Drosophila melanogaster: one gene and its partners. The protein of the gene in region 2 interacts with the protein of the main gene of each other region in a pairwise test. Each region holds a gene or a part of one and is shown on either strand. Other genes may lie near its edges.

The links.
Region 1: the proteins of CG17650 (region 2) and CG14803 interact in a two-hybrid assay, tested with the Drosophila melanogaster proteins (one large-scale study listed by BioGRID).
Region 3: the proteins of CG17650 (region 2) and Ubc6 interact in a two-hybrid assay, tested with the Drosophila melanogaster proteins (one large-scale study listed by BioGRID).

The regions. Positions count from the first base shown.
Region 1 is NC_004354.4:1,866,867-1,872,962, reverse strand, and holds CG14803 (uncharacterized protein), read right to left. Parts: upstream 4,041-6,096; coding exon 3,721-4,040; intron 3,666-3,720; coding exon 3,085-3,665; intron 3,020-3,084; coding exon 612-3,019; 3' UTR 555-611; downstream 1-554. Other genes in the region: Pgam5 (phosphoglycerate mutase 5), read left to right, coding at 57-368; Pex5 (peroxin 5), read left to right, coding at 4,039-4,176, 4,249-5,955. UniProt on the Drosophila melanogaster protein: Involved in recombination-dependent repair of stalled or collapsed replication forks.
Region 2 is NT_033779.5:1,757,738-1,760,710, reverse strand, and holds CG17650 (uncharacterized protein), read left to right. Parts: upstream 1-1,617; 5' UTR 1,618-1,658; coding exon 1,659-1,778; intron 1,779-2,052; coding exon 2,053-2,310; 3' UTR 2,311-2,425; downstream 2,426-2,973.
Region 3 is NT_033777.3:4,948,201-4,954,212, forward strand, and holds Ubc6 (ubiquitin conjugating enzyme 6), read right to left. Parts: upstream 4,483-6,012; 5' UTR 4,297-4,482; coding exon 4,253-4,296; intron 2,553-4,252; coding exon 2,267-2,552; intron 2,205-2,266; coding exon 2,079-2,204; 3' UTR 555-2,078; downstream 1-554. Other genes in the region: Jhbp3 (juvenile hormone binding protein 3), read right to left, coding at 5,408-6,012. UniProt on the Drosophila melanogaster protein: E2 ubiquitin-conjugating enzyme that accepts ubiquitin from the ubiquitin-activating enzyme E1 and transfers it to a E3 ubiquitin-protein ligase. Required for postreplication repair of UV-damaged DNA.

The sequences.
Region 1 (6,096 bases), on a different chromosome or scaffold from region 2:
TCAAGGGTCAACCCAGTGCGTATTCCACATGATATTCGGCTTTCATTTCACTGCAGCAGTTCCTTCGCGACGGATCGCGCATAGAGGCCGGCTTTCGCCGATACTTCCACCGCGCCTATCCCGACCAAGAGAAGGAGAGCTATACCCTGATCGTGGGACACGGCAACGTGATCCGCTACTTTGTCTGCCGAGCCCTGCAGTTCCCCGCCGAGGGTTGGCTACGGATTAACATTAATCACGCTTCCATCACCTGGCTGACCATCAGTCCATCCGGCAACGTGTCCATCAAGTACCTGGGCGACTCCGGCTTTATGCCCGCCGAGCTGCTTACCAATCGCATACCGCGCGACGTCAAAAACGTGGTTTAGCCGTCTGTTTATAGAACTGCCCAAAGGAGAAGCAATCATAATGTATTTATTTCCAACACTTTAACTGAGACCTTGAGCACAGATCGCGAGACTGTGTAAACCACCATGTACATTTTGCCGCACCGTAACGTATATCTCTTAAGGAGGAATCATTGAATCTTCCGACTGAAATAATAAAGATTTTATAGAATGCCTAACATTTTATTGAGAATCCTTATATGTACAAAAGAAGCCATGAGGAGCCTAAACCCTGCTCAAGACCTTTTGGAGTCGCTGCAAGCACTTGCGTATGCCCACATCTTCTCCAGCGCCGCGTTTTAGCTCCACCTGCTCTGCCTGCTCCCTTATAAAGGATAGGATGGGAGCCACTAGATCCGGCGCCAGCTCTGCCAGGTTGATCAGCATCTGGAAGTAAAAGTAAGTGCAGTGGGCCAGGTGCTTTTCGGCGAGGGATCGCAAGTGATTGGAGCACATATCCCTGACCGCCTGTGATCGCTTGTAGGCATCGTGCGATATAAGCACTTTATAAAGTCCAAACACTTGGTTGCGACTGAGGTCCACTTCGTCCACGAACATTACGTGTTCCAGCAGCGGGATGTGCACGCCGCGCAAAACGGTTAGCAGCTGTTCTTCCTGCTCTTTGCCAGTGCTCTCTATCAGTTGCTGCATTATAGTGATCACCAAGCCCGCATGCTGTCCTGCCCTCCGCCGCTGGACCACCAAAAACTGGGTAACGAGGAGCTGAAGCACAAACTGCGCCAGCTCTCCATCTACATCCGCCTGGAGGAGGGTGGCATATGGACGGGCCACCAGCTTGGCGTTGGATGAGAAGCTAAAGTGCGGCGTCCAGTGCTGAACTAGTTGCTCCAAAGTCTTGGCCACGTATGCGTCCGTGCGGTAAGGCAGTCGACCAATGCCTTGCAGCAACACTGGGAAAATCTTGTGAACCACTTGTGGAAGGCGACCTTCGGGCGGCACTCCTGCCTGCAACTGCGTGGTGAGCAGGAACCGCACCATGGCCAGGTGGAAGAAGCAGCTCGGCTTGGATCGCACGTACGCTAGAGTGGAACAATTATAGATGACAATGGCTAGGAAGCTGTAGAACCGGGAACCGAGTTCCGATCGGCTTCGATCCGGGGGTAGCCATAGCTCGAAATGATTTACATAGGCATGCAGTTTGTGGCTCAACTGCATACGGACGTGGGCAGCAGCCTCCTCTTGCTGGGCACGCCTTCCCAGAGCTCCAAAGAAGGCGCAGAGAGGCTCGCGCCCGCCCTCCAAAGAGGTGGGATCAATGGCCAGAAGTCGGAACTCCTCTAGCTGTGTGACATGGGGCATTAAAGCCAATACAGATTCGTGTTGTGCGTTTAGGAGGACCAGAGACTTCACCCAGACCTGAAGAATGGTGGAGCTGGCAGGTCGCCCTCCGTCTTCCAACACCTGGAGCAACAACTGAGCAGAAGCAGCCATATTGATGGGTTCTGGTCCCTGCAGGAAGCCCAGTAGCAGTTTGTCCCCATTATTCTCCAGGGCGATGAAGTTAGCCGCTAGCTTTGGAAGCCATGAGCTATGGCTACTAACGTATTGGGTCCTCACCAGTGGCATTATGTGCTGTTGAAGTGCCTCCTTGATGCCACTCGCATTGCCAGCCACAGCTCTCCGCTCGCTGAGACGGAGGATTAAATTGTGAAGCGTCTGCCATACGCGATCCTGCGATGCCTGCCCACACTTTTCGACGTAATGTGCCAGCCATGGCCCGAGAAGCTGCTGCTCGCCGCGGTTGAAGTCATCCGCCAGATTAAAGATGGCTTGAAGGCTGCCCACATAAATGGCGCCCACCTCTGCATCATTGCGAATGGTGGCCAACTGGTTGAGCAGCTTGCTCACATAGTCATCCATAGATAGGCGATGCTGGGCATGCAGAAGCAGCAGGGCCATGTGTCCCTTGGCCACGAGAATCCTTCGCACCGGAGGCAGTTTTTCCAGGGCCAGGCAGAGCAACATTTCGCGCAGCTTGGGCGCCAACTCGCTGAGATCTTCGTGGCAGAGCAGCAGGCACAGAAACAGCTCGATCACATGGTGAATACCAGGCTCATTCAGAGCCAAAAGTTTCGCGGCACTAAACTTGCTGAATATGCGGCCGAGTAGTTTCTGACGTTGGTTGCTTCTGCCCTGCGATGGTAAAAGCTTCAAGGTTTTGCCCAGCATCCACGCGTACATGGTGAAACTGCTCAGATTCAAATCTTCTATATGCGACTTAGACAGCAGTTTGTTGTAGCGATCGACGTAGGCCGACCCATTGGAACAGGTAAGCGGCAGCTGATCTAGCTCAGTTCCCACACTAAAATTGCAGTTGAGGGATCGGTGAAAGTACTCCCACAGCTGGCACAGGACATCAGTATCCGGCTTGCCCAGCTGCAGTTGAAGGGGAGAGAGTTGAATTAGGTAGACCCGCCGCTGCTGTTCGTCCGGCTGGCTCGCCAGAAATTGCTTAAGCAGACTGGCAGTTTGGAAGCTTTCTGGTGCCGCAGTGAGCGGCGAGTGATCCGGCTGGTACCAACCCTCACTGTTGTATTCGTCCAAGCGGGCCAGTCCTAGCCTCAACCAGGAATAGAGTTCGTGGTATGCCAGAGAAATTGCATTGCTCTCACCTCGAGAAGAAAAACGACTATAAGATGAGGGGAAGCCGCACGGTCTAGCTTCTTTGTGCACTCACCCTGGAAGTGGAGTGACTTGTGCCTCTGCATGGCCTTGTGGAATAGAGTCCAAAAGTCTAGCTCCCGTTCTCCCAGCCATTTGGGAATAAGACGTTTCAGCAGCAGCCACAGCTCCTTGTTGCAGCGACACATGAACGGCGAGGAATGGATGAGCTCCGAGCGATGTTTGCTGCGGTAGTGATGTCCAGCACAAACGATCAGATCGTCGAGTGTGCGCTCCAGCTGCCCTAGGAACGCTTGATCATTCCCAGAGGCGTACAGTATATGCAGGTCCAGAAAACGCCACTCCAGTACGCCGTGATACAGGTGATACGCCGGCGCCTGGCAGTCGTTTCCCTTGTTGTGCTCCGCAAAATACAAAACCTTCCAGGTATCCGCATCCAGCTGATCGTTGAGCAATTGTCGAAACCCATCAAGAAAATGTGAAGGCAGCAGCTCATTGCCTCGTAGGAGCAGCATCAGATGGTAGAAGTGTGTGACCTGCTGGCGCACTCTATACCAACCAGAGTTCATAGAGGCGGCCGTGGCCTGCAGGTGTTGCTGGCCCATCACGACGGTTAACAGCTTCTGCACATTCTTACTGAGAATGGAAGAGTTGTACTTGTTGGCAGCTGCCAGGGGAGCTCTAAACTCACCAGGCCTCGCCGTACAGGTAGTTTCTTACCGCGCCAACCGCTAATTGAGCCGGAGCAAAGTCAAAACAGAGATAATCCAGGCGAGAGCGGGGCGGATCCAATTGGGCGTAGCCATTCCCCAGAAAGCCTCCCTCGCACAGTTGGCTCTTCAGAGTGTCTCGGCCACTGCAGTTGAACTCGGGCAAGTGTAGACCGTCGACTAGGTCCTCTTCGCTATCGTCCACGTCTATTTGCGCGCTCAGGGTTTCCTGCTTCTGTGTCGCCTGTATGAAGGTAGCCAGGATCTCCTCGTCATCCGACTGAAAAAGGTCGTAGTCCATGGTGCAGTCGGGGATTTGGCGTTCGAAACCAATTCTCTGGCGGATAAGATTTTGCGCGGCGATATATTTTATTATTATTAGAGCGCTGTGCAACACTGTCACAAAGCCGATAGCTTCGATAACGGCCGATAAACAGGTAATCTTTGTGACATTTGGACTTTTGTTTTGGACCTGATTTGGCCCCTTTTCTTATCGTTGGTTGCCCCAGTTACGTAGCATCTCCACTTCGAACACCATGTCTTTCCGCCCATTGGTCGAGGGCGACTGCGGTGGAGTTAATCCTCTCATGCAACTGGGCGGACAGTTCACCCGCGATGTTGCCCACAAGGATGAGGGCTATGTGCAGCGACACTTCGAGCGCGCTGCTCGTCCCGAGGACCAGTTGATCAACGAGTTCCTGGGACAGGTCACTGCCCCACCGCAGTCATTTCAGATGGACACTCTGCTCCAGGAGATGCGGGACATAAATATTCACGGAAATCCGCAGCAGCAGATGCACTCTCAGCAGGCGGAGCAGTGGGGACAGGACTTTGCCCGCGGACTGGCACCCGCCCTGCCCAACAAGATGATCCACATGCAGGCACAGCAGCAGGACCTGCAGCATGCCCAGGAGTTCTTCGACGAGCCCCTGATCAGTAGCCAGAACTTTCGGTCCCTGCCGCCATTGCGTCAGCCTTTGATGCCCATTGCGGCAGGACAGCAACAGGACCCCTTCTTTGACTCCGCCATGGAAACTATAATCACAGATCATCTGCCACAGGCGCCACAGGGGGAATCGCTGGACGACTGGATCAGCGACTACCAGCGCAGCACCGAACAAAAAGAGCAAACCGCCGCCAACTTCAACGAAAAGTTCTGGGAGCGGCTGCAAGACGAGTGGCAGAAGCTGGCCGACGAGAACGAGCATCCGTGGCTGTCGGAGTACAACGACAATATGGACGCTTATAAGGAGTACGAGTTCGCCGAGGGCAACCCCATGTCTGATGTGGAGAACCCGTTTGAAAAGGGTAAGGAGTACCTGTCCAAAGGGGATATACCCAGCGCAGTTCTATGTTTCGAGGTGGCGGCCAAAAAGCAACCGGAGCGCGCTGAGGTCTGGCAGTTGCTGGGCACTTCGCAGACAGAGAACGAAATGGATCCCCAGGCCATTGCGGCACTTAAGCGGGCTTACGACTTGCAACCGGACAACCAACAGGTCCTGATGGCCCTGGCCGCGTGCTACACCAACGAGGGCCTGCAGAACAACGCCGTGCGCATGCTGTGCAACTGGCTGACAGTGCATCCCAAGTATCAGCACCTGGTCGCAGCCCATCCGGAGCTGCAGGCCGAGGGCACTTCGTTGGCTTCGTCGCTGATTGGTCCGAGTAAGCTGCGCGATCTGCAGCAGATCTACTTGGAAGCCGTTCGACAGCACCCTTCGGAGGTGGATGCCGAAGTCCAGGATGCCCTCGGCGTGCTCTACAATCTATCTGGGGAGTTCGACAAGGCGGTGGACTGCTACCAGTCCGCTCTGCAGGTGGATCCCCAAAATGCGAAGACATGGAACCGATTGGGGGCCAGTTTGGCCAACGGCTCGCGCTCCGTGGAGGCGGTGGAGGCTTATCAGCAGGCGCTGCAGCTCCAACCGGGCTTCATCCGTGTGCGTTACAACGTGGGCGTATGTTGCATGAACCTTAAGGCCTACAAGGAAGCTGTGGAGCACTTACTCACAGCGCTTACCATGCAGGCTCACACTAACGCCGCCCGAGAGCTGCCCAATGCGGCGATGGCGGCTACCTTTAGAGGACAGAACCAGATGTCCGAGTCTATTTGGAGTACGCTGAAGATGGTCATTTCGCTGATGGGCCGCAGCGATCTCCAGAGTTATGTGAGCGATCGCAATCTGGCGGCTCTTAATGAGGCCTTTAAGGATTAACCGCCCCGCAGCTTCTTTATCACTGCTTTGGGAAAGTCCGTTGTTGTCGTGTCATGTGGGTGTGTAAGGTTGAATTTGAGATATTTTTTACTCTGGCAGTGTAATCATTCCCTCTCGGTTCTTTTCTGTAAATTTGTATAT
Region 2 (2,973 bases):
CTTCATTATGGAACAGCTTGAATACCCCAACAGCCTGCATAAAGTATGAAATTAAAATCCTGGCCAAAATGGTAAAAAAAAAAACCGAGTGACAGCAAAAGTTGCAAAAGCGTCGACAAAAGCGGAAAATGCAAACCAACGAAGAGCAACCATTTTTGTTGACTTGTTGGTGGCTTTGGTTTGTTGCGTGTTTTAGTATGTTTGTGGGTTCAGAGGTGAGGGTGGGGGGTAATGGGCCCCAGGGGGTGGGGGTTGGTGGTTGAGGAGTAGTAGTTGACTCGGGTCACACCTGTGTCAGTGTGTTGGTGTTGTGCCAAAGTTGAAACTTAATGTGTACAGCTTGTCCGGGCATTTTGTAGCCCCAAAGTCATGGTTAGTTGAACTTTTCATTGTTCCCTTGAACAGTGGCAGCAACTTTTGCAAAATGTGCAAAAAGGAATATTTAATAAGCTACAAATAATAGTATTTGAAGAACAGATCTTGGCCCGAAAGGGAGCAAGAACTCTATACAATACCCATCTGTTCCTTTTCATTTCTTGCTTACTAGATGGGCTCAAGGACATAATTTCTTGAGTCAACTTAAACTTAAAGCATCAAGCCATGAAAGTTTAAGCGCTGACGGCCGCAGAAGGAAATCCTTTATTCGCATGTCCCCTTATTTTGCCACCGCAATTCAAGCTGACTTCTCCGACTTGCAGGACATGCTGGTGTCGTTTCATTGTGACAAATAAACTTACGCACCGGAAATGGCAGGAAAACCAGGCAGGGCGGCAATAAAATGCCAAGGAGGTGCAAAATAAAATAAGAAAAAAACATCAACCAACTTGGTCAGCCTGTAAAAACGGCTCGCATATCAGCTGGTTTACAGCCATTGTTTATTTATGTTGTTGTTGGGTGTGGAAGTTTGGTGGGGGGGGGGGGGGGGAGTACGTACCACTCCGTGCAGCACTCAAATTAAAGGACCCGAAAAAAATGTGATTTCGAAACAACATTCCCCGGCTGACAGGAAAGGCTTTCAGCTGCAATTCACCCGACTGCACTTGCCATAAAGCGAAAATTTCATTAGGCCTACCCGAAAATGGCAAAATGGCAAAAAAGAGCAGTCCCTCACGACGATTAGGGTTGCCGCCCTTCGCATTTTTTATAGTACTTGCTGGCCGAGTATTTGGCCGTAAATTCCAAACCATTTCCATTTTGCACAAAACGTGACTGAGTTTTCCCAAACGCGCCCCCACTGCAAAATCCCCGCCCACTAGCTTCCGTTTTTCGACATCCTCCGGCAAGGGAAACTGTAAATAAATTTTATTTTTCGGTCCGCCAGCAAAGTGCATAGAAAGGTTCGCAGTCCGTAGTCTGTAGTCCGTAGTCCGTAGTCCGCAGTCCGGATTCCCGCATAGAAGCCTTTAAAACGGAACTTTATCTGCATTTAGTACGTAAATAATCGAGTGCCTCGGTCCGAGGATTTCGTCAGGTGAAAAGGCTTTTAGCTGAATTTGGGATGAGTGGGCAGTGCTAATTTGTTTTGGATTGATGGACATGCATTTTGCACGAATGAGCTGGTAGCCCTGGTTAATCGAAGCCTCTCAGCAGGCCCTTGATTTTATCATCGATAGTTTAACATGCTGGAAAATTGGTGAAAAGAGTCAGGTCGTAGCAAAATGAGTGATTTGGTAGGTATCGTTTATAATGACTATCCCATGGAGAGCGAGGAGGATTTCAATAGGCGCAGGAGGGATCTTGATAATATATTTTTCAACTGCAGCACAAGGAAAAATCAGGTGAGTGAAGTTTTCCGAATAAATTACCAAGCCATAATTAAGTGCATAGCACATGTTTCAATCAACTTTTGCTAACCAAAAAAGCACTTATGCTGATTTATTGTAATTAGTATGTGTATGTTATTACCATGATTATGCGCTCTTATTCAAAACGTGTTTTTTTTCTGACAAATAATAATAAGTAACTGCGCAGCTATGAATATTTATATCCTGGTAATTAAATAACATTCAAGTTTTTATGTGTACTCTATATGTATCATCCTACAAACAAAAGGAACAACAATTCGAAGCCAAGCGTCCCATACTAAACTCATCGAACTACAATAAGATATTCGGAGCATCTTTGGGAGATGACATGGACTTCGAGGACTTTCCCGACCTCAACCAACCACTGCCAAATATTTCCATTCACGAGCAACTGCGTCTGGCTTCCGGGAACCGCGAGATAATCGCGAGCATTCAGCGAAATCACCAAAAGCGACTCGAAAACCTTTGGCACTCGGAACTAATAGAAAAACTAGCGCAAGAGTAAAAGCAATTCTAGTTAGAGATAGAAGTTGCTTTTGGGTTTTCCTTCAGAGATTTCTCACAAAAAATATTAAATAAAATGTATTGGTAAAGCCCTGATTACCATGTAAGTTGTTACCAAAACTAGCGTTGTTAATTGTTAACAGGTGAGTGTGCGAGGCTTAATTGCAATTTGCGCAGCGTCATTCGGATAATTAAGTGAGTTTTAACTTGTGCACACACAATTTGCTCATGTGACACATTTGATGGCAATGGCAATGTGAAACGAATGGCAATGGGGCACTTTAAATGCAAAACTCACAGTTTGCCAGGCGAGCCTGTTGAAATCATTTAACGAGCTTGCCAAATTGCCTTATGGAAAATGTTGGAAAAGCGGGCGAAGTGCGTTTCCGCAGTCGAAAGTCAGGACGTCCAGTTTGTGTCAGGATGCATTGATTTATGTCCTGCAGACGTCGAGAGCGGAGGAAAATGACATGAATCTTCATTTGTGAATTGCATTTTATATGACTGCTCTGTCTGAGATTGAGTATTTGTGCGCACATAAGCACGCTTACACTCGCGGTGCAAATAATAGTAACTGCGGTTGGGAAATGGTCGAACATATGTTAGTACATTCTGATATATAGTGGAATCTGTAATAGCACTTCTACTGTACCATTTATTATAT
Region 3 (6,012 bases), on a different chromosome or scaffold from region 2:
GTGTTTGACTGCAGTCAGATGTAAAGCAATTTTAACACAAACTAAAATCAATTCGCTGAAGTGAATATGTAACTTGGTCCTGTACTCTGACTTTGAAACCGTGCCTGTTCACCAAATCTTTTATAAAATTAGTTGTTGAGCTTTTACTCTGAATATATAAATTTATTTATACACAGTATTATTGAAAATAAGTCCTGTTGTATTATCATAAACTTGGAGAATTATAATTCAATGGAATTTAAGGCGCACAATTTATAAATAACGGTTTGATTTTATTTTGTTTTCTTATTTTTCGGAAGAATTTTAAAATCTGCCCATGCACTCCCACTACCTGCGTGACGGATGATGATGTCGTAATGCTTCTTTTTAATTGGTTGGTACGAATTTAGGAGCACACTATAGTTGACATTTTCTTGGCAGCACTGTCACTTTCCTCCTAATTACAATTGACTTTTGGACAATTGATTTGGAGCAACCATTTTAGCTCCAACTCGACATGTTGTAAGGGGAGTATAAAATAGTTCCGTTAAAATTTAATTTAAACAAGGTGTACTCGTGTTACTTTCATTTATTGATATTGGAAATCTTAACTTTATTAATAATAATAATGTTAATTACAGTAAGGTAATTTGAAATTCCACATTGTCTGAATCGGTTGCTAATCCTCATTCTTTGATTTACTATTACTGTGAATTGAATTGGGTTACTGTCTCCTCTGCTTTAGTTGGTTCATAGTTAATAAAACAATATGCTGCTATATGGTAATTTTATCATATATATGGTTAACATGATGCTCAGAGCATCCAACACAAAGTGCCAAAAAGTGGAGGGTTTATAGCAAAAGGTACAGCAATTCGCATTCAACAAAAAACATGAATAAAAGTCGATTGTAAACGCTTAAGAACTAACTAAATCAATTGCCGCAGCCAAGACACAGTGGAACCTAGAGAGTACATAGCGTGGCAAATGGCAGTTAGGAGATGTTTTCATCCCACTTTACACTGAAAAAAGACCCCGCTCAAATCTCTTCTTGGGCCATCATAGCTGACCAAATCAGGGTGTAAACTTGAATGAGGCCAAGGATAAGATCTTAGAGATAGGGTAAAAGTAAAGCGTCGGTCAGCCACCAAAATTATCGGGCAAAATACATAGAGCATTGGTCAATGGAAGCTACCGAGGAATACATGCATATATATTTGCTTGCTTGTTCCCAACTTGGAGACTTGTACCATGTCACATACCGTGTGGATTGGTTTACATTGCTAAAAACTAACATTTAATTATCAATTTCTAGTAATTTCACAATTTGTAGCCAATAAACTTATAATTCGATCTAGGTAGCATGTGTATGTTTATGTTGGGGTTTGGTAGATACATATAGTTCACATAAATGACGACACTGGACAATTGTTTACTAGGTTTTCAAGCGGATTCAAAATGTATGTTTCTTGTGTACGTGTTTGCTGAGCCACGAACTACTACAAATATTAATTTTCGTTTAGGCATTGGTTGAGTTTAGTTTTACAGGACTGGGTTTGCGCGCATCTAAAATGAAACTATTTGACATTGCAATCGCTTGAAATGGTTTTTATAATTTTTGTTTTATTATTAAACATTATTGCCGCTGCTTTTTTAAATTAGAACATTTGAGTTTTTAGCTTATAAGAGTCTTATTTCTGGCTGCCGGCGCAACTAGCGGCTGCATCCATAGAGGACTTCCTAATTTTTTAAGTGAATTGCGTCTGCCTTCGGGATCGGGTGATCGGGCTGGGGACAAGGTGTAACTATTGGCCAAACAAATATAACTCAAAACTGCCCAGTATTTATGGGTTGCGAATTGTGTGCGCAGGGTGTATATATGCTGCTGTGCCGTGCCGTTGGCGGTGTTACAATTTCATAGCATTACAATTATCATAAATATTTCTGTTATTATTTAATTTAAACTTCTTTATGGTATTGCATATTTCTGTTACTGTAGTTTGCTGATGCTTTAAGCTGCGGTCGCCTACTAAACTGCTGCCGCTCGTTTTGTGGCTCCGGCTCCTGATGCTGCTGCTGTTCCTAAAGTGGGCGCATGGCTAATCGATGAAACTCTGCTCAACGCAGGCTTTCACACGCTTCTCGTACTCGCGCCGATTTTCTTTATACAGCTGGGCGGCGGTGGAGTTAGCCGGTGAGTTGGGATTGGGATCGCTCAGCAGTGACTGGAAATCAGAAGCATACACATTAAGCTATAGCTACTGGATCCAGAAGCAGAGTAACTCACCTGTATGGATGTTAATATGGCTGACACATCGTACGTGGGACTCCAGCGGTTCTGCAATATGTCCAAGCATATTCCACCATCTGCGTATACATTGGGATGAAATACTTTCGATACAAATCGAACCGTTGGCGGTTTGTTTGGGTACTCTTCCGTAAATTCTATGGTTAACTTAAATGTTCCGTCTTCGAAGGGTGTGTCGTGTGGACCAAAAATCACAGCATTCCATATCATAATATTATTATCTGTTGGAGCACCCGAGACACCCGTAGGTGGATCCTCTTGAAGTCTGCAGGTAAGTATCAAATTAAAGTGTTGTAAATAAATAAGTTAATGCATATTTGTTTACACAAATATACTATTTATTGTATAAATTCCAATTGAGGCGAAAATAAAAAACTCTACCTTAACATTTGCCGACTAGGTTGCAATGTAAAGCTAATAATTATTTTTTATCTTCTTGTTGTAATTGTCTTTAGTTAATGATCTTACGAACAATGTGCTTGAAACGTAAGTCTTTAATCGTCGCAAGAGTTGACGGTCCCGTGGACACCAAATTCTGCCTATTTGTATACATATTCCGCAACACAGAAGAAACCAAAAGCAACGGTCAGACATAGAGTGATGAAAAACAATCTAAAAGTTACCTGGCCGGGATTGGCTGCGATTTAGGTCAGCTAGCGGGCGGCGCAACCCGGTTAACCGCGCCCTTCAATCGGCTTAAATCGATACACGGGCCAAGTGAAATCATCGATTAAACAAGCTAAGAAACGCGACAGTGCACTGGGAAATAAGATATGCAATATCCAAGTCTGAAGCATATTTTGAAATTTATGAACTTGAAAGGTCAATTTTGGGCGGTAATACGAGCTATTAAAATAACTTGTTGAAAATGTTCATAATTTATTTATAGGTATCCAATGATGTGTAACAGGTATTTTCTAATGAACTCTTATCAAAAACTAGACTTCTAAAATGGAGTCAGTTTCGATTCGCATTACGATTTGAATATTGCATTCCTGATGAAACATTTTCGCAAAACAGAATTTGTGTTTCTCAAACTAATCAGTCCCGAGTACTCAATAACTATACTAGATTCGGACCCCACAAAGTATAAAATTGACGATGTTATTTTTTATTTTAGTTTCGAAATTTCCACTTCGAACTCGTTCTAGCTGAGTAAGGGGTATCTGATGTATGCTGTCAGATATGCTTCTGTGCAGTTGCTCTGCCTCTTGGGGTGGTACATTGGAACTTTGCCGGGGGGCAGGAGCCCGCGCCCACGCAAACAGCCTTGACATTTGGTTTCGTATTCCTCAACTGCAATCTGCACTGCAGCGCCAACTTTCGGGATGATGAAAGTTTCGAAGCCGAATGAAATTCCAATAGGAGCGCTTCGTCTCTTTCGCGTGAGTCAACAAGGCTGAGTGCGAGCGAGAGGGGGTAGCGGGCAGGATGCAGCTGCCGAGTCAGGCGGATAGAAACGTTAATGTTTTGCTGCGACGCAATTTCGGCAACGGCGGAAGAAGAATGTTGTTTGGTTTTCCCAATTTTCCCCTTTGTTTTCTTGCTTTTACCCCGCACCGCGCGCGAACACACACACATTCAGATCAAAGTCAAGTGTCAAAGACAAGCGAATTGTTGTTTTTCGCACGAGCAAAGCAGCGAAAATAATCAACCACTCACACACGCACACGCACACGAGCATGGGCACATGCACACGTACATATTTTGGCTGCGCAAACTTTTCCACTACATACAGACGTGGAGCACAGTCATATATACGTGTGTCCGTGTGTTTGCTTATATGTATTGGGCAGCCCCCAGGTTTCTTTTCCCCAGCATTTTTTCGGAACGAGAAACACGTAAAACGTAAAATCCAACGGTTGTGTGTACTTTGCCATTCGCTCCTTGCCTTCCTGTTTTCCTTTGCTTTCGTTTTGTTTGTATTCTTTTCTATTCGCATTCGATTCCTTAGTTTCTTCTCACCTTTTAAAATCTCTCATAAGACGTCTGCGTGCGGGTGTTGACATTTTTCACAGCGATACTACCACTCGTGTTGTGTTGGATTTGGAACTCGGACGCCTGGGCAATGCGTTGCGTTTAGCGAACGGTAACGATGAAATTTTGTAATTTATTTTTAATTGAGGGCAAACTCGGGCAGCAGTGGTATAGAGCTGGAACGAAAACCGATGTTTCCCCGATACTATCACGTAGAGCTGGAGCTCAAATCAATTTCGTTGCACAGAGCTGCCACCCAGCCAGCATTGAGCGTAAATATGAGTTGCCAGAGGTTGCCAGACCATTCAAAATACGTTTCCTATTGATGTTTTTTACGAATAGGAGTTTTCGAAGTGTAAGTTTAACACTGCAGAAAACTGATCGAAGTATTTGTAAACCAAAATTAATTTGAACTTTAGACAACCTGGGTCCGATTGCAGAAAAATTTTACAATTGAGCGACATGGCAAAAACAAGAGGTATTCCTCTAAAACAGGTGACTCAAGAAAAATAAGAATTCTATTGAATGTCTCCCTTTCTTTCGTCCTTGCTAAAAAAGCTAGTTACGTTTTATCATATTAAATATTAGTATAAGCAAACATAATTTTATGGTAGTTCCAATAATATTTATAAACTGAAACTACTAAAAATGAAATGAAAATCAAAACACCAGTTTTGTACCAAAGTTATGATATCTAAGAAAAGCAAGATAAAGCTTGACTATCAGATACCCGTTAATCCAACTTGGATTGCGAGGAGATGAAGATTTAGAAGCCGGAAAGCGACTCTTGACCAAATCGGCCAAAAATTTTATTGTGGGCGCGGCATACCGATACAAATCTGCAAGACTTACATACATACATATAATAAAGAAATAATCCAAACGTTTTTCAAAATCGTAATAGTTATGGGCGGCTTGTGGCCAAGCAGCTTAGCTGCTCCCGTTGATACTAAGAAACGGGTATCTGGTAGTCGGGAAACTCTCCCAACAACGATAATCAAGACATAATTTCCTTTGACGCATTCAATTTCAAATCTATTTGCGTAAATTTCTAAAATTTATTATTGAATATTTAGGGACTAATTATAACAAATCGAGTGTATCACAAGCTTAGATTTAGCCTAACTACAGTTAGCAAGATTATTAGACGGGGAAAAGCTCGCTGTAGGTGAAGTTCTCAAGGATTTTGGTCGTGATGACCAGAAACTTGGCCTCCAGGGCGCGGGCAATCGGTGCGATCAAGTCGTTGGTGAAGACCTCGAAGTTTTGGTTGATCGTATCATTGATGACATCGCCCAGAACCTTGTCTCCGTTGAAGAGGTTCTCCAGCTTCAGGTTTCCCTTGCCAGTGCGGATCTTCAGGACGAACTCCTTGACATGCAGGTATTCCAGATCATTAACACTCTTAATGTCGTACTGGACGCGCACATAAGCCACAAAGTTGGTGAAGTTTCCAGTGAACGGCCCATTGCCCTTGATCGGCAGTGCCAAAATATTGCCGTTGATCTCGTAGAGCCCATCGCCATGGAGATGGGGCAGAATCAACTCGAAGTCAAAGCGTCGGTTTTGGGTGGAAGCCCGCAGCTTGGTGATCTCAAAGTTGGAGGCGCCCAGGATGTTCAGCTTCTTGGCTTTTACCGTGAGCCCGGCGGATCCATCCAGAATGCTCAGATCTCCAATGTAGAGGGGCTCTAGCGGCGGTACGTTCAGTTCCTTAATGCCCTTGGCCAGATAGGGTCGCAAGTTGT